5 linked regions of the Oryctolagus cuniculus genome follow. The protein of the gene in region 2 purifies or fractionates together with the protein of the main gene of each other region. This does not show direct contact. Links are inferred from orthologs where the notes say so. Each region holds a gene or a part of one and is shown on either strand. Other genes may lie near its edges.

Evidence for each region.
Region 1: the proteins of GPN3 (region 2) and POLR2M purify together in Homo sapiens (affinity purification with mass spectrometry; 3 studies listed by BioGRID and IntAct, counting the BioPlex papers as one, with this or other methods). This does not show direct contact. The link is inferred for Oryctolagus cuniculus from reciprocal best matches to the Homo sapiens genes GPN3 and POLR2M.
Region 3: the proteins of GPN3 (region 2) and POLR3D purify together in Homo sapiens (affinity purification with mass spectrometry; 3 studies listed by BioGRID and IntAct, counting the BioPlex papers as one, with this or other methods). This does not show direct contact. The link is inferred for Oryctolagus cuniculus from reciprocal best matches to the Homo sapiens genes GPN3 and POLR3D.
Region 4: the proteins of GPN3 (region 2) and POLR3B purify together in Homo sapiens (affinity purification with mass spectrometry; 3 studies listed by BioGRID and IntAct, counting the BioPlex papers as one, with this or other methods). This does not show direct contact. The link is inferred for Oryctolagus cuniculus from reciprocal best matches to the Homo sapiens genes GPN3 and POLR3B.
Region 5: the proteins of GPN3 (region 2) and POLR2G purify together in Homo sapiens (affinity purification with mass spectrometry; 3 studies listed by BioGRID and IntAct, counting the BioPlex papers as one, with this or other methods). This does not show direct contact. The link is inferred for Oryctolagus cuniculus from reciprocal best matches to the Homo sapiens genes GPN3 and POLR2G.

Annotation. Positions count from the first base shown.
Region 1 is NC_091443.1:80,576,103-80,579,612, reverse strand, and holds part of POLR2M (protein GRINL1A), read right to left. Parts: intron 706-3,510; coding exon 501-705; intron 1-500.
Region 2 is NC_091452.1:8,131,407-8,135,519, forward strand, and holds the start of GPN3 (GPN-loop GTPase 3), read right to left. Parts: upstream 2,810-4,113; 5' UTR 2,731-2,809; coding exon 2,563-2,730; intron 1-2,562. Other genes in the region: protein FAM216A, read left to right, coding at 3,301-3,383. UniProt on the Homo sapiens protein: Small GTPase required for proper localization of RNA polymerase II (RNAPII). May act at an RNAP assembly step prior to nuclear import.
Region 3 is NC_091439.1:1,075,023-1,079,271, forward strand, and holds the end of POLR3D (DNA-directed RNA polymerase III subunit RPC4), read right to left. Parts: intron 4,200-4,249; coding exon 4,048-4,199; intron 3,940-4,047; coding exon 3,815-3,939; intron 3,715-3,814; coding exon 3,546-3,714; intron 3,221-3,545; coding exon 2,955-3,220; intron 1,457-2,954; coding exon 1,304-1,456; intron 1,196-1,303; coding exon 1,073-1,195; 3' UTR 501-1,072; downstream 1-500. UniProt on the Homo sapiens protein: DNA-dependent RNA polymerase catalyzes the transcription of DNA into RNA using the four ribonucleoside triphosphates as substrates.
Region 4 is NC_091442.1:108,967,376-108,971,605, forward strand, and holds the start of POLR3B (DNA-directed RNA polymerase III subunit RPC2), read left to right. Parts: upstream 1-1,422; 5' UTR 1,423-1,529; coding exon 1,530-1,601; intron 1,602-1,741; exon of another isoform or gene 1,742-2,044; intron 2,045-4,230. UniProt on the Homo sapiens protein: Catalytic core component of RNA polymerase III (Pol III), a DNA-dependent RNA polymerase which synthesizes small non-coding RNAs using the four ribonucleoside triphosphates as substrates.
Region 5 is NC_091432.1:8,823,695-8,827,661, reverse strand, and holds the start of POLR2G (DNA-directed RNA polymerase II subunit RPB7), read left to right. Parts: upstream 1-1,167; 5' UTR 1,168-1,307; coding exon 1,308-1,319; intron 1,320-1,433; coding exon 1,434-1,543; intron 1,544-2,349; coding exon 2,350-2,509; intron 2,510-3,516; coding exon 3,517-3,567; intron 3,568-3,936; coding exon 3,937-3,967. UniProt on the Homo sapiens protein: Core component of RNA polymerase II (Pol II), a DNA-dependent RNA polymerase which synthesizes mRNA precursors and many functional non-coding RNAs using the four ribonucleoside triphosphates as substrates.

The sequences.
Region 1 (3,510 bases), on a different chromosome or scaffold from region 2:
CACTAAAAGCGGATGATGCTGTAAGCAGTGTGTCCCACCATCTGTTGGCAACCTGCTATCCTCCACTGCTCCTCGGCACTCCCCTGGTACTGTACAGACGGAAGCCAGGGAGCTACAGTTCCCTGATTCTGGGTTAGATTCTACCAATGAATCTAATTTAGAAGGTGAAAGACAAAGGAACAATGCTATCCTATCCTAACAGAAGTGGTACAGCAATGGGCTTTAAGATGTAAAATTGTGCAGTAGTCTCCCCATGTTTCCTGGCAAATCACCACTTTGTAATACTGAGGGAGACTTAATCACCTCCAGCTGTTTCCCAGAAGTCTTAGCAACTTTGTGACTCTTTGTAAACTAAAGGCACATGACTGATGGCCAATGGGATGGCTGACCATTTCTCTAGCACCTAACCCCTTCTACTGCATTCTTTCCTTCTTGACTACCTGCAATAAATTCTGACCTATCAACATACAGACAAGAAAAAAAATTAGTAATCTAAATACCTCATAATTCTGTTTCTGCTGTTTCTGAAGTGCCAAAGATTCCTCTATAGAGAGCAGCTGTGTAGGCAGATGGTGAAGTGGGAGAAGCCGAGCTGCTGTGATGTCATCAAGATGCTGCTTGTCCCTGCGTCGCCGCTCTTCTGAGGCAACAGGAGACTCTCCCCGCTGTCGGTGACTAGACGAATCACTCTGTCGCGAAGGTAACCTAAAGGAGGGAAAACTTACCTTATACAATCAGGTATTTTCCCATTAATAGAGCAAGTGAGCTCCTAACTTAACAATGGTAAAGTACATCCATACGATCATTTGGTTTTTCATTCTCAGTATGGCATTCAATAAATTACATGAGGTAGTCACTATATTATAAAACAGGCACATGTTGATGACTTCTCCCGACGGTATGTGAATATAAGTGTTCTGAGCACTGCAGGTAGGCTAGACTAAGCCACGGTATTCTGTAGGTTAGGTGTAGTATTTCTAATTTATGATGCGCTACCAAGACATACCCCATCATAGGTCAAGGAGTATATACATACAGCACACACAAGCTCTTTCCTCTTCCTTCCCTCTTTAAATCTTACATCAAGCCGGCACCGCGGCTCACTAGGCTAATCCTCTGCCTTGCGGTGCTGGCACACCGGGTTCTAGTCCCGGTCGGGGCACCGGATTCTGTCCCGGTTGCCCCTCTTCCAGGCCAGCTCTCTGCTGTGGCCAGGGAGTGCAGTGGAGGATGGCCCAAATACTTGGGCCCTGCACCCCATGGGAGACCAGGAGAAGTACCTGGCTCCTGCCTTCGGATCAGTGCAGTGTGCCGGCCGCAGCGGCCACTGGAGGGTGAACCAACGGCAAAGGAAGACCTTTCTCTCTGTCTCTCTCTCTCTCTCACTGTCCACTCTGTCAAAAAAAAAAAAAAAAAAAATCTTACATCAAATCCAAGCTATGTTTTTCACTTATTCATTCAAAGAACATTGGCTATAGGGCTTACTGTCCATAAGAGGAAAATAAACATGTAAACAGTTTCAGTGAAATATAATACCACAGATCCTATCACAGTTGCGGCCAGTTCTAGCAAGGGACAAGGAGTTTGCCAGTTTCAAAAAAGTGAAATTTGAACAGCCTTGGAATAATAAGTGCTCACCATGTAACAGGGGGAGAAGAGCACTCGAGCACCAGGAGTGAGGGGCAACATGGCTGCAGCATACAGAAGTAAGAGGATGGAAAAGCCAGAAAAGGCAAGAGAAGGCTGGGAAGTAGGCTGGGCCCAGATCACAAGGAAGAGTTACAGTCTATATAACTGGTAGAGATTTGCATATTACAAGTTTGATTCTGGCAGGAGTGGAGAAGCACAACTGGGAGTTAAGACTCTAGGCAAGAACAGTCCACAACTATAGCTCAAAAGAGATGCAAACCTTCACTGTGACAGGAGGGGATGAAGATAAGAACATTTATAGAGATGGAAGATTAAGGAAATAAATTATGTGGATCTTCACAGCTAGCAAATATAAAGAAAAGACACCTGGGAGGTAGTAGAGGGGATGGGGCAGAGAGATATGGCAGCACTATAACCTAGAGATTATGGGAGGAAAGTCAGTTTAGATATAAATAGGAGTTTCACTTTGTACATGAAAAACCTGAATTGTCACAGACACCCAAGTGGTCATGTTTTATAGATAACATGCCACACAAATCTAAAGTTTTAGCAAGACTTAGACTAAAAGTAGATAAAAGGCAGCTTTTGGCATTCAAATTGTCTCTGAAGCCAAAGGAAAGCGGAGAAGGTGCCAAAGGACACAACCTCATCCACTGTCCAAACTCCCAGGCACTGCTCACACATGGAAGCCACCCATTCCCTGCCTATTTATGGCCTACTGACTCATCAAGGCCTAGCTTTTCCTGATCTCTTCTAACTGCACAGAAAATTCCTTCTCTTTAAATTCCTTAACCTTCAGAGGCCCTCATTATTATTTCCTTATCTCTCTCTTGCTCCCAACAAGATCATAATACATAATCAGGATCATTATATCTTTTATTTATTGACTAGATTTTCTAAAATGTCCTTATAGAAATGAAGAAAGATACCTCACTGCATACAAGATGAGAGATTACTCACAGATTACTTTTTATTACTAAAATTTAAAGTTTTAGTTTCTTACACACCAGAAATAAGATGATTTGATGTTAAAAACAAATAAAGAGTGAGGTAGGATAAAGCTGAAAGTTCATTCAAGTCCCTTTATAATAATAAAATCACAAAAAAACCACCTTTTTGATATTTTTAGCTAAAGATTTTGTTTTTCAAAGTAGTATAGTGATAGTTTGAGTTTGGATCTGATGTTCCATCTTTGGAAACAGGCATGAACCAGCCACTACTTGCCGATTTGGACGTTACACCTGCTACAAGTAATTACCTACTATTTTCTCTTAAAGAGGTTTTTTTCCTGGAGATCTCAAAAACCAAACAATGGCAAGAAACTCAGAAGCAAGGTTTTTGCCCATGCTGCCTGAATCTGTTTTCACAGTTTATTATCCTCCTCTCTTCTCCCTTCCCACTGAAACTATTATTATATACTTTGATTTTTTTTCACCAGGTATGTAAACCTTGATTCCTCATCAGCATCCTAGACTGAGTAACAGAAACTATTTCACTGTGTCCTCACAGCACCAGAGGCCTACATATAGCATGAACACACAAGTACAAGTACAATTTTGCTGAGAGTCCATCACTTCCTGCATTGCTTTGCCCTTACAGACTAATCAAAGGGGGAGCAGTAACCAGAAACTGGTTCTAATAAAAAAAATCAATAAATTCTCTCCTTAGCTCTGTTTATTATGAAATACTGGCTAAGTATCCTGAAATTTAATACTCCCCCACCAACATAAAATCTGTTCAATTATTTGGCTTTAAAAACAAAAGTATTTTTCAACAAGAATCCTCTTTCCAGTGAGGCTAGTCTCACTGCTTCCATAATATGCCCCATCTCTAACCACAAGCAGCACTCAAAGGAAGCCA
Region 2 (4,113 bases):
TAGACGAGCGTGGACTCATGGGAACTCTGGGGAAGGTGCTTCCCCACTCTGCCCTCAGGTGTCTCCTCTCTAACTGGGATGCCCTTCAAGATAACCAAGGCCCATCACTGCTCTAACGTGGAAGAAAAGGAACTCAAAGGGGAGGCTTCTGGTTACACGGTGCAGCACCCAACACATCGTGTCTCCACTAGAACCAGCAAGGTCCAAACAAAGACTTGGGTAGGACGGCCAGGGACGGTGTCTCTTAGTAGGGGATACCTGAGCCTACGGGAACGTTTTGCCAACTCAGAGGAAGAGCATTTCTAGATGAGGGAACACCAAGGCCAATATACAGCCTGGAGGTGGGCTAGCAGTTTGCAACTTAAAAAAAAAAAAAAAAAGATTTTATTTTTTTATTTATTCATTTGGAAGGCAAAGTACCAGAGACAGGAAGAGAGAGAGAGAGGAAGAGAGAGAGAGAGAGAGAGAGAGAGAGAGAGAGGTCTTCTATTCACTGGTTTACTCCCCAGATGACTGCAATGGTCGAGGCTGGGCCAGGCTGAGGCCAGGAACCAGAACTCCACCCAGGTCTCCCATGTGGGTGGCAGGGACCCAGCTCCTCGGGCCCTCTTCCACTGCTTTCCCAAGCACATTAGCAGGGACCTGGATCAGAAGTGGAGCAGCCGGGACTGAACTGATGCTCATATGGGATTCTGGCATTGCAGATGGCAGCTTAACCTGCTACACCACCACACTGGCCCCTCAAATTCTGGTTCAGAGATTCCTTATCCCTTGTGTAGTCCTTACTACATCACATAAAAATCCTGCATCTACTTGTTTATCCCTCCCACCCTCTGTCAAAAGAAATAATTCCCATCATGCTCTCCCCTTAGTGCCTTCACACACACTGTTTTCTCTGCCTAGGAAGCCCTCTCCATACACCGCATTGTCTTCTCATTCCTTTTTTATTTATTTTAAATTTTAAGACGGAGGGAAGGAGGGAGGGAGGGAGAGAGAAAGATCTTAATCCAGATCTGCCACGCAGCTGGCAGGAACTCAGTTTCCCTTTTTTTTTTTTTTTTTTTTTAAGATTATTTATTTGACATGCAGAGTTGGAGGGAGAGGAGGAGAGACAGAGAGAGAGATCTTCCATCTGCTGATTCATTCCTCAAACGGCTGCACCAAAGCCAGGATTCTATCCAGGTCTCCCACGTGGGTGGCAGGGGCCAAACCACTGGGCCACTTCCTGGTGCTTTTCCAGATGCATTCGCAGGGAGCTGGAGCAGAAGTGGAGCAGCCGGGAACTGAACCAGTGCCCGTGAGATGCTGGTGTCACAGGTGGCAGCCCAACTTGCGGCACCGTGGTGCTGGACCCAGGAGCTGGCACCAGGCACTGAACCCAGACGTGCAGATGTGGGACACAGACCTCTTAACTGCTAGGCTAACAGCCAGTTCCCCATCCAGCTGTATCTTAACTGGCAGTCACCGTTCTTCCCAGCCAGGCTGTGCCCCTGGGCAGGAGACGGCCAAATCTCAGTCCCGTGTGGAACCTCCTGCATAGGAGGGGGCAGTGGCTCAGCAGGTGCTTCTGCTGAACACTGACGCCTCCTGACACCTCCACAAACTCCAGTGTTTCCCCAACTACGTTATTTGCTCAATATCTTCACTGGTTTTACAGTATTTGAGTGCTACTACCACCATGCCCTTAATATTTGTTGACAAAAAACATCATGGGGGTTGGCGCTGTGGTGTATCGGGTAAAGCCCCCGCCTGCAGGGCCGGCATCCCATATGGGTGCCGGTTCAAGTCCCGGCTGCTCCACTTCCAATCCAGCTCTCTCTGCTGTGGCCTGGGGAGCAGTGGGAGATGGCCCAAGTCCTTGGGCTCCTGCACCCACGTGGGAGACCTGGAAGAGGCTCCTGGCTCCTGGCTTTGGATTGGCTCAGCTCTGGCCATTGCAGCCAATTGGGGAGTGAACCAGCGGATGGAAGACCTCTCTCTCTCTGCCTCTCCTTCTCTCTAACTCTGACTCTGACTTTCAAATAAATAAAATAAGTCCTTTTTTTAAAAAATGGAGCTACGTTAGAAGCCAGCGTAGCTTCACCGCAGTGGAATCCAGAAGGGGAAGGGGGAATGTTCTGAGCATACGAGCCGATGTTCCGTAACGCGGGGTCCCACTGCCATCTAAAATCCCTTCAAATACCAGAAGTCCACGTCCCAGGCTTTGGGAAACACCCACAAAGACCCCACTTTAGTCTCCTGGGAGGGAGAAAGGACAGGATTCTGGAGTCAGAAAAACAAAACAAACCCGGATTCCAGTTCAGGTCCCGACTCGTACGCGCGCGACCTTCCCTAAACGGGAATAAGAAGACCCATCTCCTAGGGTTGGGCTACTCCAACCCGGGGCCTAAGCGTCCACCAACAACCGCCACGACCCCCTTGCAAGACGACAGGACCCCGAAGACCGAGAGCAGAAGCGAACGGCGCGGAGTCTCAAGGCCCTCGGTACACGCCCTTCTCTCAGGACCGAACCCTCGCCTCACACGGGTTACGATCTTTCTCTCCTTTCCCACCAAATCTCACCTTCCCGCTGCCGGCGGGGCCCATGACCAGCTGCGCGTAACGAGGCATGCCGACCCTCGGCTTCTCCAGGGCCGTACGGCACACTTCCCGCTTCAGCCTTGGCGCCACGCCCACCCACTTCCGGGAGCGCGAGGTGCGAACCAATCGCAACCGAAGCTCCTTATACATTTCCGGGTAAGTCACACCTCCGGCTACGGAACGTTCCGCGGGCCAAGTCCCGTGAGAAACGCGTCCGGGAGACACGGAAGGGGCGGGGAGGAGAGAGGTGGGAGGGAGGGAGGGAGAGAGTGAAGGAGGAGGTCTTGCGCGTGCGCAGAAGCGGCTGGCGGAAACCCGCGGTTGGGTAGCCGCCGGAGCCTGGTTGCCAGGGAGACAAAGGATAACGGCAAACGCTCAGCATCCCTGATTCTTGGTTTGCGCATTGGCGTTGGGCTCGGACGGTGCCACCCAAGCTTTGCAAATGTGCTGAGGGTCTGGAACCCTGAGGTGGAAGGCACCTCGTGTTCAGGGGAGCGTGTGCGTTTCGTTCCCGTGACGCGTCCCTTGCACAAAAAGATGCGAAAGCACAGACTCGCCACCAAGTAACGCACTCCCGCAGATCCGGGGTCGTGGGTCTCCTAGCCCTCCCAGCTTCCCGAGGTGTCGCCCCGACACCTCCCGCCTGACGCACGCGTGCAGAGGGGGCAGGGGCAGGGCCCGCTTCTCCCGCACGCAGCTCGCCGTCCGGGCGCCGGGGAGATGCCGGGCCGGGGGCCGGGGGCCGACTCTTCGGCCGAGCCGCCCGCGGTGGCCGGGACCGAGGGCGGCGGCGGCGGCGGCGGGTGAGGCCGGGGGCCCGGAGGGGCTGGGGGGACGGCGCCCAGCCCGGGGTCGTGAGCGCCCGGGAGGGCGGGGGCGGGCGGCGGCCGTGGCCGGGGGGGGGGGGACGCTCGGAGCCGAGTGCGAGGACTGCGTGGAGTTTTCGGGCCCCGCCGGGGACGCTTTGGCGTCGGCCCCCGGGGGTCGCCCAGAGGCGGAGGGCGGGCGGCGCCCCCGGGCCGCGCGGGGCCCTGTGTCTGAGGTTGGCTGAGGGGCTGTTAACGGCGGGGGCCACGGCCCTTGGCAGGGATCAGATCTGGGAACACGCGGTAGCAGGCGGGATGGAGGGCATTCGGTCTTAATTTGAAAAAAAGGAAAAAAACTGTACCAAATTACAACATTACAGGCCAAGGTATCCGTTCCCGCATCCCTTAATCACTGTTCAAAGGGCTGCCTTCAAAACCCCAGTTATTTTATTTAAAATAGAGTAAGAAAATACCATGGATTAATAACGCAGGAGCCCGAACCAGTTTTATTGAGCTCGCTGTAGGCATTAGATTGGGAAGCTATAAAGGTAAGACCAAATCTGGCCTAGAATAAATAAATACATACAGACAGACTGGAATACATCCTTTCTAGTATGGTGAAAAGCTCAGATAACACACTGCGAGAAAACTCGCAGCCATCAGGATTTAAGCAGAATTGCAGGTGATCTGCAAGACATACATGAAAAATAAAACGCATATGCAATAG
Region 3 (4,249 bases), on a different chromosome or scaffold from region 2:
AGGTGTAGGGTGTGGGGAGAAACCGGACTTCTTCCCATTCTTCCAACGCCATCTTCGCCCGGTAACACACAGGAAGCACTTGGCTAAGAGTAACCAGGAAAAGGGCCAGGACCCAGGGTGAGGAAGATGAAGAGAGGGGCAGGCGTTCGGCCTAGCAGCCCAGACCCTCGCATCCCGCACCGCAGGGCCCAGGTCCAGGCCCCGGCTCTGGCTCCTGACTCCGCGTCCTGCTAACGCACACCCTGAGAGGTAGAGGCGGCAGGATGGCTCAAGTGATTAGGTTCCTGCCACACGCGCGGGAGACCCAGACTGCGGTCACGGCTCAGCTCCAGCTGCTGTGGGCATTTGGGGAGTGACACAGCGGATGGAGCTCTGTCTGTCTCATAAACAAGCAAAAATTTTTAAAAGAAACAGTGAAGGCACAAAAGTGGGGAGTGTGCGGTTCTAGTCACTGGAGGGACAGGCAAGCTCTACGTTGCACAAACACAGACTCAGGCAAGGAAGAGGAAACAAACATTTATTGAGCGCCCACCAGGTACACGTCTGGCTGTGTGCAAGGAGCTGCCACCTAGAGAGCTCCATTCGATCCTCACGCCAACCCCGCGAGGCAGGTGCTAGCCCCACTTCCGTCCGATGAGGAACGTGAGGTTCAGAAAGGTTAGGAATGGACGAGTCCTCTCATCCACACTCCACCTCTGCTCTCGCCCACACGGCCTCGTGGGGGAGGGCGCACGGGCAAAGGCCAGGCCTTTCCACACCCTCCTCCCCCGGCCCTGCAGGCATCGAGAGGAGGGGCCTGTACTTCCCCCACACCCTCACCGGGGACGCAGCTGGCTGCAGATGCTAAGATATAAATACAAAAATAAATAGCAAGGACTAGGCCCCAGCAGCAAGGATATGCCACATCCACACTGCGGGAGGGAGCCCGGGGGCCCCGGGGTGCAAGTGGGGCGCCAGCTGCCAGAGGCCCGAGTGGGCAGGCCACACAGCCCCCTCTGGGCCACAGACTCCAGAACAAAACGCCTGCGGCAGGCAGCAGCCGTGGGCAGGCGCAGCTTCCTCCATCTGCTGCTCAGCGGTGCTTGTGATCCAAGAGGGACTCGAAGTCAGGGGAGCAGACGAGCTTGTGCTTCACGTGGCCCAGGACCGTCAGATCCCCCGTCCTGCTGTCTCCAAGGCCCACGGACACCAGCTCCTGCCAAGCGACAGACGGGGTGAGAACCCCCAGCTGTCCCTGGCCAGCGGCTCCCGTTCCTCGGGGCTCGAGCCCTGCCCGCCTCTCCCTGCGGCACAGGGTGCTCACCTGCAGGAAAGAGCAGGCGGTCCCCATGGTCACGTCCAGAGTCACCTTGCCCAGGAGGAGCTGCACCTTCCCTGATCTGCGGATGAGCAATTTGCCAACCTGCCCCTCCGTGAGGTCAGCCAGGGCACACGTGTTCTCTGCCTGCCTGGCTTCCTGTGGAGAGAGGAAGGGGGTGCAGACTGGGCAAGGAGCTCTCTCCTCCACCCTTCAGGAACAAACCCCAATCTCCCAGGGGAAGGCACTGGCAGCCCAGACCAGGGTAAGGCCCCCAGAGAGGGCCTTTTCCAAGGGCAATCTGCCATCGGTTAAAAGACAAAACCTGGGGTCGGCACTGTGGCGTAGTGGGTAAAGCCACAGCATGTGGTGCTGGCATCCCATATGGGCGCCGGTTTGAGTCCTGGCTGCTCCACTGCCAATCCAGCTCCCTGGGAAAGCAGTGGAAGACGGACCAAGTGCTTATGCCCCTGCACTCACATGGGAGACCCAGATGAATTTCCTGGCTCCTGGCTTTGGCCTGGCCCAACGCAGGCCAGGCCATTGCAGCCATCTGGGGAGTGAACCAACAGACAGAAGATCGATCTCTGTCTGTCTCCTTCTAATTTTTTCAAATAAATAAGTAAACCTTTAAAAATAAAAAAAAAAAATGGCCAAAACACAGAGAAAACAAATGTATAAAACATCAACAGCTGGGGCTGGCACTGTAGCATAGTACATAAAGCCGCTGCCTGCAATGCTGGCATCCCATGGGGCGCCAGTTTAAGTCCCGGCTGCTCCACTTCCAATCCAGCTCCCTGCCAATGGCCCGGGAAAGCAGTAGAAGGTGGCCCAAGTGCTTGGGTCCCTGCCATCCACATGGGGACCTGGATGGAGTTCCTGGCTTCAGCAAGGCCAAACCGTGGCCACTGTGGCCACCTAGGGAATGAACCAGCAGACTAAAGATCTCTCTCTCTCTCTCTCTCTCTCTCTCTGCAACTCTCTCAGATAAATAAATCTTTAAAACAAACCAACAACAGCTGCAGCTAAGGGATGGGACACAGGAGTCTCTGCCCTTGTAAAAGATGTAAAAATGACTGCAGAGGCTGGCGCTCCGGTGCAGTGGGTGAAACCACGGCATCCCACATGGGCGCTGGTTCTAGTCCCGGCTACTCCACTTCTGATCCAGCTCTCTGCTGTGGCCTGGGAAAGCAGCAGAAGATGGCCCAAGCCCTTGGGCCCCTGCACCCATGTGGGAGACCCGCAGGAAGTTTATGACTCCAGCCTGGCCCAGCCCTGACCATCACAGCCATTGGAGGAGTGAACCAGCAGATGGAAGATCTCGATCTCTCTCTCTCTCTAAAACTCTGCCATTCAGCTAAATAAAATAAATTAAAAAAAAAAAAAAAAAAAAAAAAACCCTCTGGAAAATGAGGCTTCCTGTGGTGCAAAACAGCCTGAAAGCCGTGCAGCTTTTCATAATGTGCACTTTCCACGGATTTTTCCAAGTACGCCTGCATGTTTGAAACTGTTCATTCTAGGAAGCAGGCGCACGTACACGGATTTGGGGCTGGCAGTGCAAAGCCCAGGCTCTGGCAGGTGCTGAGAGTGCATGCCTGCACCTGCACGCCTTCACCCCACCACCTCGGGCTCCCCCAGGGCTCCCCGGGACGCCTACCCGGTCCTTCTCCTGTTTGATGACCACCATCTGCCCGTCCTCGCCCTGCACCTCTGTCTTGATGGGCTTGACGTCCTGGGTGGGCGGCTGGCCGGGGAGCGTGTCCGGCAGCTGGAGGAACAGCAGTTCTTCCTCCTTGGTGAGGCTCAGCTCCCTCAGCAGCTCTGCCACAGACACGTCTTTCGGGAGGCCTGGCGTCCTCCTAGCCGCTCTGGGAGGAGCCTTCATCTTAGCCTCCTCCTCGTCGTCTCGTGGCTCCTCTTTTACTGCCCAGGGTAACAAACACAGAGGAGATACGAAGTGGGCGCCTCCATGCCACCTATTGCCCTGTCCACCCCACTACCGCTCAGCGAGGAGCCACGGGGAGACTGACAACGGTGAGGGGCGAGAGAGAGCACGCGCAGCTCTAAGAGCTAGGCAGGGTTGTCGGAGGCGTGGCCCCCGGGCAGGTCAACGCGGGAATCCTCCGAGAGGGTTTGTATACAGTAATATATTTATAGTACGGGTGTCCAGCTCACACATACGACAGGTGGAACGGGGCAGGGCCTACCCAGGAGCAGCTCAGGCCTGGCCTGAGGGATACCGGAATACCTTTCACAGAGGGCACGTCCACCTCCATGTCCTCCTCCTTGGGGCCGGCCAGCCAAGGCTTCACATCCTGATCCTCGCTCTCCTCCTTAAACAGCCAGCCCGAGTGCGCCAGCGGCAGCTGCACAGGCATGTTCCGGGTGTCGTTCCGCAGCCCAGGGTCATCGATGAACTGCCAAGGCAGAGCTGCGGGGTCACGGGCCGCTGCCCCTCGCTCCTCCCACCCCGGCAGCCCCCGCAATAGCGAACCCCCTCCCCGCCCCGGCACCCACGTCGTCTTTCTCCAGCATGCGCAGGATCTGCTTGGTCTCCTCGTCCGTCTCCCTCTTCTCCTTCTTGATGTTGATGATGTGAGAGGGACCCATATCCGACACATCCACGGTCTTATCCCAGCTCCCTGCGGGAAACCACCCTGTTCAGCAGCTAGCCGGCAGCGGGCGCTCCGTGGCTCCGGCCTGCCTCCGTGGCTCTGGCCCCGCCTCCATTCCTGACCCCTTCCTTGTACCTTTCTTCTTCATCATCTCAGCGGGGCCTTGCTCAAAGATGGAGTGGGACTGGATGACTTCCGGGCGGCCCCGGCCCCGCCCATGCCACTCCCGCTGCCGCTCTCGGTCCCTCTCCCGCTTCTCCTTCTTCACTGTGACCTCCTCCTTGGGCCTGCAAGAGACGGGGGATGCTGGGGACCACTTGGCCTGCCTTTGCCACGC
Region 4 (4,230 bases), on a different chromosome or scaffold from region 2:
GATATTGGGAGGGGGTGGACCTGTAAGAGATGGGGTGCAGTGGCAGGTAGTAAGGTGACTAGGAGCACTGCCCTGGGAAAGGATTTAGTTCTCTCAACTGCTCTTGGGCTTCTTGTCTTTCCTTGTGACCCTTCCCTCGCCATGCTGCCATGTGCCACGTGCTGTGTGATGCAGTCAAGGGAGCCCTCACCAGAGCTGAGGAGCCAGCGTCATGCCCTTGAACCTCCCAACCTGTGAGCTAAACAAATCTCTTTCTTCATGACTGAGCCTCAGCTATTTCATCATAGCCACAGAAAGCAAGCTGAGACACGATGCAAGGGTTCTACATGTATGGGGAAGGATTGGAAAGTACTACACATATTTACCAATTTTCATGAACTTTTTAAAAATTGTAAAATACACATAAACCTTGCTATTTTAATCATTAAAAATGGTTCAGGTTCATTGGTATTAAGCATATTCACAGTTATGCAAACATCCAGCTCCCCAAACACTACCTCTCTATCTATTAAGCAACTATTGGTATCTTGTGCCTTGTTTTTCACAGTGGGATTTTTTTCCTCCTATTGATTTGTAGAGCTCATTCTGAATTAGGGAGACCAATCCTTTATCTTCCCCCAACTTGTGTATCTAAAGAAACTCTATGATGTTTAAAAATGTTTATAAAATTAAATATCTTCCAAAGAATCATAAAATCATGTTTAGAATTCTATTATCCTTTATAAAGACTTCCGGGTTGCTGCTTTCACTATCTTCACATTACAAATACATTCACTGGCATTTTGAGATTTTATCAGTGAAATATTTAATCCTTATAGGATTTACTTGTGTTTTGCCTTTTTTTTTTTTTTCAAACCAAATGGCTAGTCAGGTGTTCCAGCATCACTTATTGGGTTTCCCCTATTGCTTTAAATATCATCTTTTCCTATTGTATTTCTACTTGTGCTGGTTATCGAACTTACTCCTTGGTCTTACTGTGCTGTTACGCCCTAGTCTGTAGTGCGAATTTCTCCCCACTTTGTGTCCGCTGTGATGGCTGTATGCTATCCCACCACACGCATGTACCGCGGTTTAGGTAATCAATACCCTACTTCTAGGCATTTGGGAAGTTTCTTGGTCTTCCAGACTACATAGTGCGTTTTGGATTGAACAAAATGAATTCTCCTAGTGCTTCAAATTGTGCAAATTATCCGTTCGCACTCTTCCTCGAATTACTTTTAAAATTACCACCACTGTATTCCGCTGCCCTCAATTATTGGCCAATACACGTGTAGGTCGGAAATTGGAATCTTTCGGGCACGACCTCGGAGCTGCACCAGGGGGCGCAGTTTCCAGCTCGGCCTCGACCACATCCGGGTTCCACCGCAGGTTCGTCCCGTAGCAGGCGGAACCTTTCTGTCGTGCCACCTGTGAACAAGCGCGGCGGGGACCATTTAGGCCGTTGCGCACCGACCTGCAGAAGTGCTTCGGCTTGCTTGCCGAAGGCCGGCGTGGAGGTTCAGTGTGCTTTTTCCTTCGTCGTGAACAGCATGGACGTGCTAGCGGAGGAGTTTGGAAACCTGAGCCCAGAGGAGCTTGCTGCGCCGATCCCGACTGTAGAGGTGAGTGTACGGCGAGCGGGCTGTGGAAGGGACCGGGACGCTTCCTGAGGGGGCGTTGCCCAAAGAGCCCTGGGGCTGAGGGAGGCCGGCTGGTGTCTTCTGCGCATGCGCAGGGCTTCCGCGCATGCTCAGAGCCCTGCGCGTGCGAGTCGGGCTCATGGACCGGTTGGTCCCGGCGGAGCTGTGTGGCGCCGCGGCTTCGGTGGCTCTCGCTGTGGAACCCTTACGGCACGGGCCCGCGTAGGCACTGTGAGAGACGTATCGCGTCTTGGTGGGCCCGTGGCGGACACCGAGTTCCAGGGAGCTTAGGCCAGTGTCGAAGTCCGAATTCAGGGTTGACGTTTTGGCCTCAGCGATGTTTAAACACGCTGAATATTAACTCAGCTATAGGCCTGTGTGTTTTCTGGGGAGAAGCCCCATAGCCTTCATCCGGCTCTCGGAAGGTAAAGGTAACTGCCCCACAGTGAGCTGCCCAGTCACGTGCAGCTGTTGACAAATTTAATTTCCTGAAAAAACACCGTTAAAAAAAAAGTTAATTCATTTGAATGGTGGAAAGATAGAGATCTTCCATCCCCGCTTCACTCAACAGCTGGGGCTGGCCCAGGCTGAAGCCAGGAGCCGGGAACTCCATCCTGGTCTCCCGCGTGCGTGGCGGGGGCCCTTGAGACATCATCTGCTGCCTCCCAGGGTGCATTAGCAGGGACCTGGATTGGAAGGGGCTGTCCCGGGGCTCCGGCTGGCACTTGAATGAGAGCAGGCATCCCAAGCAGTCTTTTTTTTTTTTTTTAAGATTTATTTATTTGAAAGGTAGCATTAGAGAGAGAAAGAGAGAGGGAGGGAGAGAGAGAGTGCTTCCACCCGTTGGTTCATTACCCAAATGGCCGCAACAGCTGGAGCTGGGCTGATCCGAAGCCAGAAGCCTGGGTCTCCCACGTGAGTGCAGGGACCCAAGTGCATAGGCCATCTTCCACTGCCCAGCAGTGCCACAATGCCTGCCCCCAAATCCATGTATTGTAACCTCCCTAAGCTTCAGGACCTTCGCTGGCTTGAGGGAGAGAAGTAGTGAGCCGGGAGGAGCTAGTGGGAAGAGAACTGGCAGAGCGGACAGGATACTTGGAAACCTCTAGGCGAGAAGAGCCGTGATGTTACCGAGGGACTGAGGGAAATCTAGTAGTACTAGAGGGAAGAAAAATAGAGGACGAGAGGAAGGCTATGGGAGGTTCCTGATTATGAAGGATTTTCTTAGACATCTGAAGGAGTTTGGACTTCCTCCTGGGAGCAGTGGAGTGCTTTTGGAGGGTTTTAGCAGGACAGTGACATGGTCAGTGAGTCTATTGGATTATTAGAACTTCTTTATAATTACTTGGCAGTATTACAAAGTTGAGTTATAATCACTCCAACAGATTCAGTCTATGAGTGTGTGCAAAGCGTGCTGATCACCAGGCAGTACCCTGAAGAGGTTATCAAAGCCAGTGTTTACTAGTACTTGTCTGTACCAGGCTCTGTTTTGCCATGATGTGTCTTGTTGTTTAATCCTCTGAAATAAATCTTATTTTCACTCGCATTTAGCTGGAAAGATTTGCTGGCTAGGTGTTAGAAGGCTGGGCCAAGGCCCATGTAGAATTTGGACTTGTCAGTGTGACTCCAGTCTTTTTTTTTTTTTTTTTTTTAAAGATTTTATTTATTTATTTGAAAGAGTTACACAGAGAAGGAGACGCAGAGAGAGAAAGAGAGAGGTCTTCCATCCGATGGTTCACTCCCCAGTTGGCCACAGCTGCTGGAGCTGTGCCAATCCAAAGCCAGGAGCCAAGAACTTCTTTGGGTCTCCCACATGGGTGCAGGGGCCCAAGACTTGGGCCATCTTTTACTGCTTTCCCAGGGCGTAACAGAGAGCTGGATCAGAAGTGGAGCAGCCGGGACTTGAACTGGCGTCCATATAGGATGTTGGCACTGCAGGCGGCAGCTTTACCCACTACACCACAGTGCCAGCCCCAAGTCTGCATCCTTAACTGGTGACAGGACCGACCCCTTCTCTGGAGAGCTGAAGAAGCAGCCGTAGAAGATTTCTGTTTCTTGTCTGAATTTGCACAGCCCTGAAGGGAACCAGTACCACGATTCCAGCCTTCTGGTTCAGAAATAACCATTTCTTTCCTGGCTCTGTGCATCTGAATCACATCATGCTGCAGGGGCTTGATTTTGGTACCTTAAAATAACTTTTTTGAGGCCAGCATTGTGGCTTAATGGTTTAAGTTGCCACCTGTCATGCCGGCATCCCATGTGGGTGCCAGTTCAAGTCTGGCTGCTCCATTTCTGACCAGCTCCCTTCTGATGTGTTTGGGAAAAGCAGCAGAGGATGGCCCAAGCCCTGTACCCACATGGGAGACCCGGATGAAGCTCTTGGCTCCTGGCTTTGGATCAGTTCAGCTCCGGCTTTTATGGCCATTTGGGGAGTGAAACAGCAGATGGAAGATCTCTCTGTCTCTCTCTCTCTGTTACTCTGCCTTTCAAATAAATAAATAAAATAAATAAATAAATTAAAAAATAACTTCTTTTTTAATTAATTACTTAGAAAATAGCCTTTTTCATTCGGATCTGGCTAAAAAGCCAGTGAGAGTATCTCAGGCATGCA
Region 5 (3,967 bases), on a different chromosome or scaffold from region 2:
GCTCAGGCCAAAGTAGGGAGCCAGGAGCTTCCTCTGGGTCTCCCACAGGCCCCTGTTTCAGGGGCCCAAGGACTTGCTGCCTTCTCAGGTACATTAGCAGGGAGCTGGATCAGAAGTAGAGCTGGGGCCAGCACTCCAGCCGTTGCCGCCATTTTGGGACTGAACCAGCAGATGGAAGGCCTTTCTTGCTGTCTCTCCTTCTCACTTTCTGTAACTCTACCTCTCAAAATAAATAAATAAATAAATAAATAAAATCTTAAAAAAAAAAGTGGAGCTGCCAGGACTTGAATCGGCATCCATATTGGATGCCAGTGCTGCAGGTCATGACTTTATCCCACTGCACCACAACGCCAGCCGCCAACAATTTTTTTAAAAAATATTTATTTAATTATTTGTAAGTCAGAGTTACAGTGAGAGAGAAAGGAACAAGTCTTCTATCCACTGGTTCACTCCCCAAAGGGTACAACGATGAGGCCTGGGCCAGGCCAAAGCTGGGAACCAGGGGCTTCTTCCAGGTCTCCTCTGTGGGTGCAGGGCCCCAAGCACTTGGGTCGTTTTCCACTGCTTCTCGCAGGCTTTTGGAAGGGATTTGGATCAGAAGTGGAGCAGGGGCTGGCGTTGTGGCATAGCGGGTAAAGCCGCGGCTTCCATTGCCGGCATCCCATATGGGCGCCAGTTCGAGTCCCAGCTGCTCCACCTCTGATCCAGCTCCCTGCTATGGCCTGGGAAAGCAGTGGAAGATGGCCTGAGTCCTCGGGCCCTGCACCCACGTGGGAGACCCTGAGTAGGCTCCTGGCTTCAGATTGGGCCAGCTCCGGCCTTCGCGGCCATTTGGGGAGTGAACCAGGGGATGGAAGACCTCTCTCTCTCTACTTCTCTCTAACTCTGCCTCCCAAATAGATAAAACCTTGAAAAAAAAAAAAAGGCTACTATCCACCTAGATACTTAACACCACATTGACTATGGGAAAGCAGTCTGTAAAATACTTGCTGAATGACTCCGCTGTTAAAATAATTATGTCATCTTTCACCAGGAATTAATTCAGTTTAAAATATTCAGTTCACAAATACTTTAAGTTACTTGGCGGAGCGGGCAAGGTTTGAGCGCCAGTCGGAGGAACCGAGGGGCGGAGCTTCATCAATCCTCCACAGGGAGGCCCAATCGTATCCATCGACTGGAAGGAGTCCCGCCCACTTCCGGCGGACCCGGAAGCGAGGGGCGGCTGCGCGGCGTGCGCTTCCGGTGAAGCCAGTGGGTCGGTGTTTGTAGCGCTGGTGGCGGCTTGTTTTAGAGTCTCGTCGGGGAAGATGTTCTACCACGTGAGCAGGGCGCGGGGTGATGGCGAGGGCTGGGTCGAGAGGAGGAACGGGGCGCCGGTGCGGAGGGCTGCTGCTTGCCCCGTATCCTCCGTCTGCGTTCCGCTGTCTCCGCAGATCTCCCTGGAGCACGAGATCCTGCTGCACCCGCGCTACTTTGGCCCTAACTTGCTCAACACCGTGAAGCAGAAGCTCTTCACCGAGGTGGAGGGGACTTGCACTGGCAAGTGAGTACTGTGGCCGTGCGTGTGGTCTCGGCGGCGCGCACACGGGACCCTGTACCTGCAGCCGCCCCCCTCCCAGCGTGGGCTGCAGCACCTTGCCACCCACGCTGGGGAGCGCTCCGTAACTTCCTTCAGCCTAGATTTCTCATTCTTTTACTGCGCGTTTTTCGAGCTCCTGCTGTGAGCCGGGCCCCGTGTTGGGCCCTGGGAACATGCAGAGAACAAGATGGAATGAGGCCAGCACGCGTGGGGCTCACAGTTTAACCCTTGTCCCTCGGTTTCTGCTGAGCCCAGGGAGTTGGCATGGCACAGTGTGTTTCCTGAGTGAATGACCAGAGAATGCGGGTCGACGGGGTGAGGAAGGAAGGAGGCTGGGGCTTGACTGTCCTTGGGTTCTTCCCAGAGCGGTAGGAGTGGACTGGAACTCAGCTCGGGGCCGGGCGGTACTTGAGCCTACAGCAAAGCCAGATTACCCTGGATGCACGTTCGTTCCTAAGACTCCTCACATCTCTGGGGCAGGCCTGGGACTCTGCCTGCTCACACGCTCCTCCCAGGTGATTCTGAGGCAGCTCGAAGATTGAGGTCAGAGACTGCAGCCACTTCGGATGTTTGTTGTGAAACAGGAGAGCAGCGCGTGGCCTTTACAGATGCTGATCCCTGCCCTTTCTCTTGGTTCTGAAGCGCTCTGGGGGCAGAGATGCTGTCTGCTTCCCCTCTTAACCCCTTCCCAGGCTCGATGACTCTTGCTGCAGATGGCGTTAGAGGCCCTTCCGCATATAGAACCTTTCTCTTTCTCATCCTCCTCACAGGTATGGCTTCGTCATTGCTGTCACCACCATAGACAACATCGGCGCAGGAGTGATTCAGCCAGGCCGAGGCTTTGTGCTTTATCCTGTTAAGTACAAGGCCATTGTTTTCCGGCCCTTTAAAGGTGAGGTCGTGGATGCAGTTGTCACTCAGGTCAACAAGGTGAGTCCTCACATAGAGGAGGCAACGGGGTGGTCCCTGGGAGGAGCTGGTTTGGGTCCCTGCTCCTCTTGCTAACTCTGTGCCTTTGGCTAAGTCACTTTTTTGTACTTCAGTTTCCTCACTTGGCAAATGGTTCTAGGAATCTTGGTCCTGCCTCACTCAGGAGGCACGTGATTCAGTATTAATAGTCGTAAGGGTAGAGTCCTGGGGCCAGCGCTGTAGCCCAGCGGGTTAAATCCATGACATACGGCACCGACATTCCATATGGGTGCAGGTTCAAGTCCCGGCTGTTCCGCTTTCCATCTAGCTCCCTACTAATGCTCCTGGGAAAGTGGTGGAGGATGGTCCAAGTCCTTGGGCCCCTGCACCCATGTAGGAAACTCAGAGGAAGTTCTTGGCTCCTGGCTTTTGCCTGACCCAGCCCTAATCATTGCAGCCATTTGGAGAGTGACCCAGCAGATGAAAGATTCTCTCTCTCTCTCTCTCTCAAGTCCTAGGTGTAGGCTCTTTACTACTGCACTGTTTTTACTTAACTTAAAATGAAAGATTGGTGCTGGCATTGTGGTGCAGTGGGTTAGGCTTACTTACATTCCAGTATTGTTGAGTATCAGTGTGCCGGTTGGCATCCAGGTGCTGTTTCCTGTGCTACTTCCTGCTAATGTGCCTGAGAAAGCAGTGGAAGATGACCCACGTGCTGGGGCCTTGCCACCCACGTGGGAGACCTGGCTGGTATTCTGGGGTCTTGGGTACAGTCCCAGCCACTGGGGCCATTTAGGGACTGAACCATTGGACAAAAGATCTGATTCTCTGTTTTTTCTGTCACTCTGCGTTTCAGGTACATAAAATAGCTAAATACATAATGAAATGTTAATAAAAAAGAGAAGTGCAAACAAATGCCACAATTCATACCGGTCATAGAACATGAGTAAAATTGTAGGAATCAAGTAAAAATGGGAACAAAAGACTTGGAGGGGAAGAAAAAGCGAAATCATTCGTTTTCCTTGTAGGTTGGACTCTTCACAGAAATTGGGCCAATGTCTTGCTTCATCTCTCGACACGTAAGTCTGGGACACCGGGTAGGCTGGGACACCGGGTAGGGGCTAGAAAGATGCGCCCGTTTGTGGTCATCTACTGAAGCATCTGTTGAAAGTGCTGACCCTCCTGGGTTCTATACTCATCTCTGGCTGCTGACTCCAGCCTCTGCTAATGTGCACCCTACGAAGGCGGTTGGTGATGGCTCAAGTGACTGGGTCCCTGCTGCCCTGGTGGGAGACCTGGACGGAGTTCCCAGCTCCTGGCTCTGGCCCCAGGCTTGGGCCACTGTGGGCATTTGGAGAGTAAATCAGCGGATGGGTATTCTCTGCCTCCCAAAGAAGTGTATAGATAAGGAAATGACAGTGTTGACCTACTTTGACTTTTCCTTTCAGTCTATCCCATCAGAGATGGAGTTTGATCCCA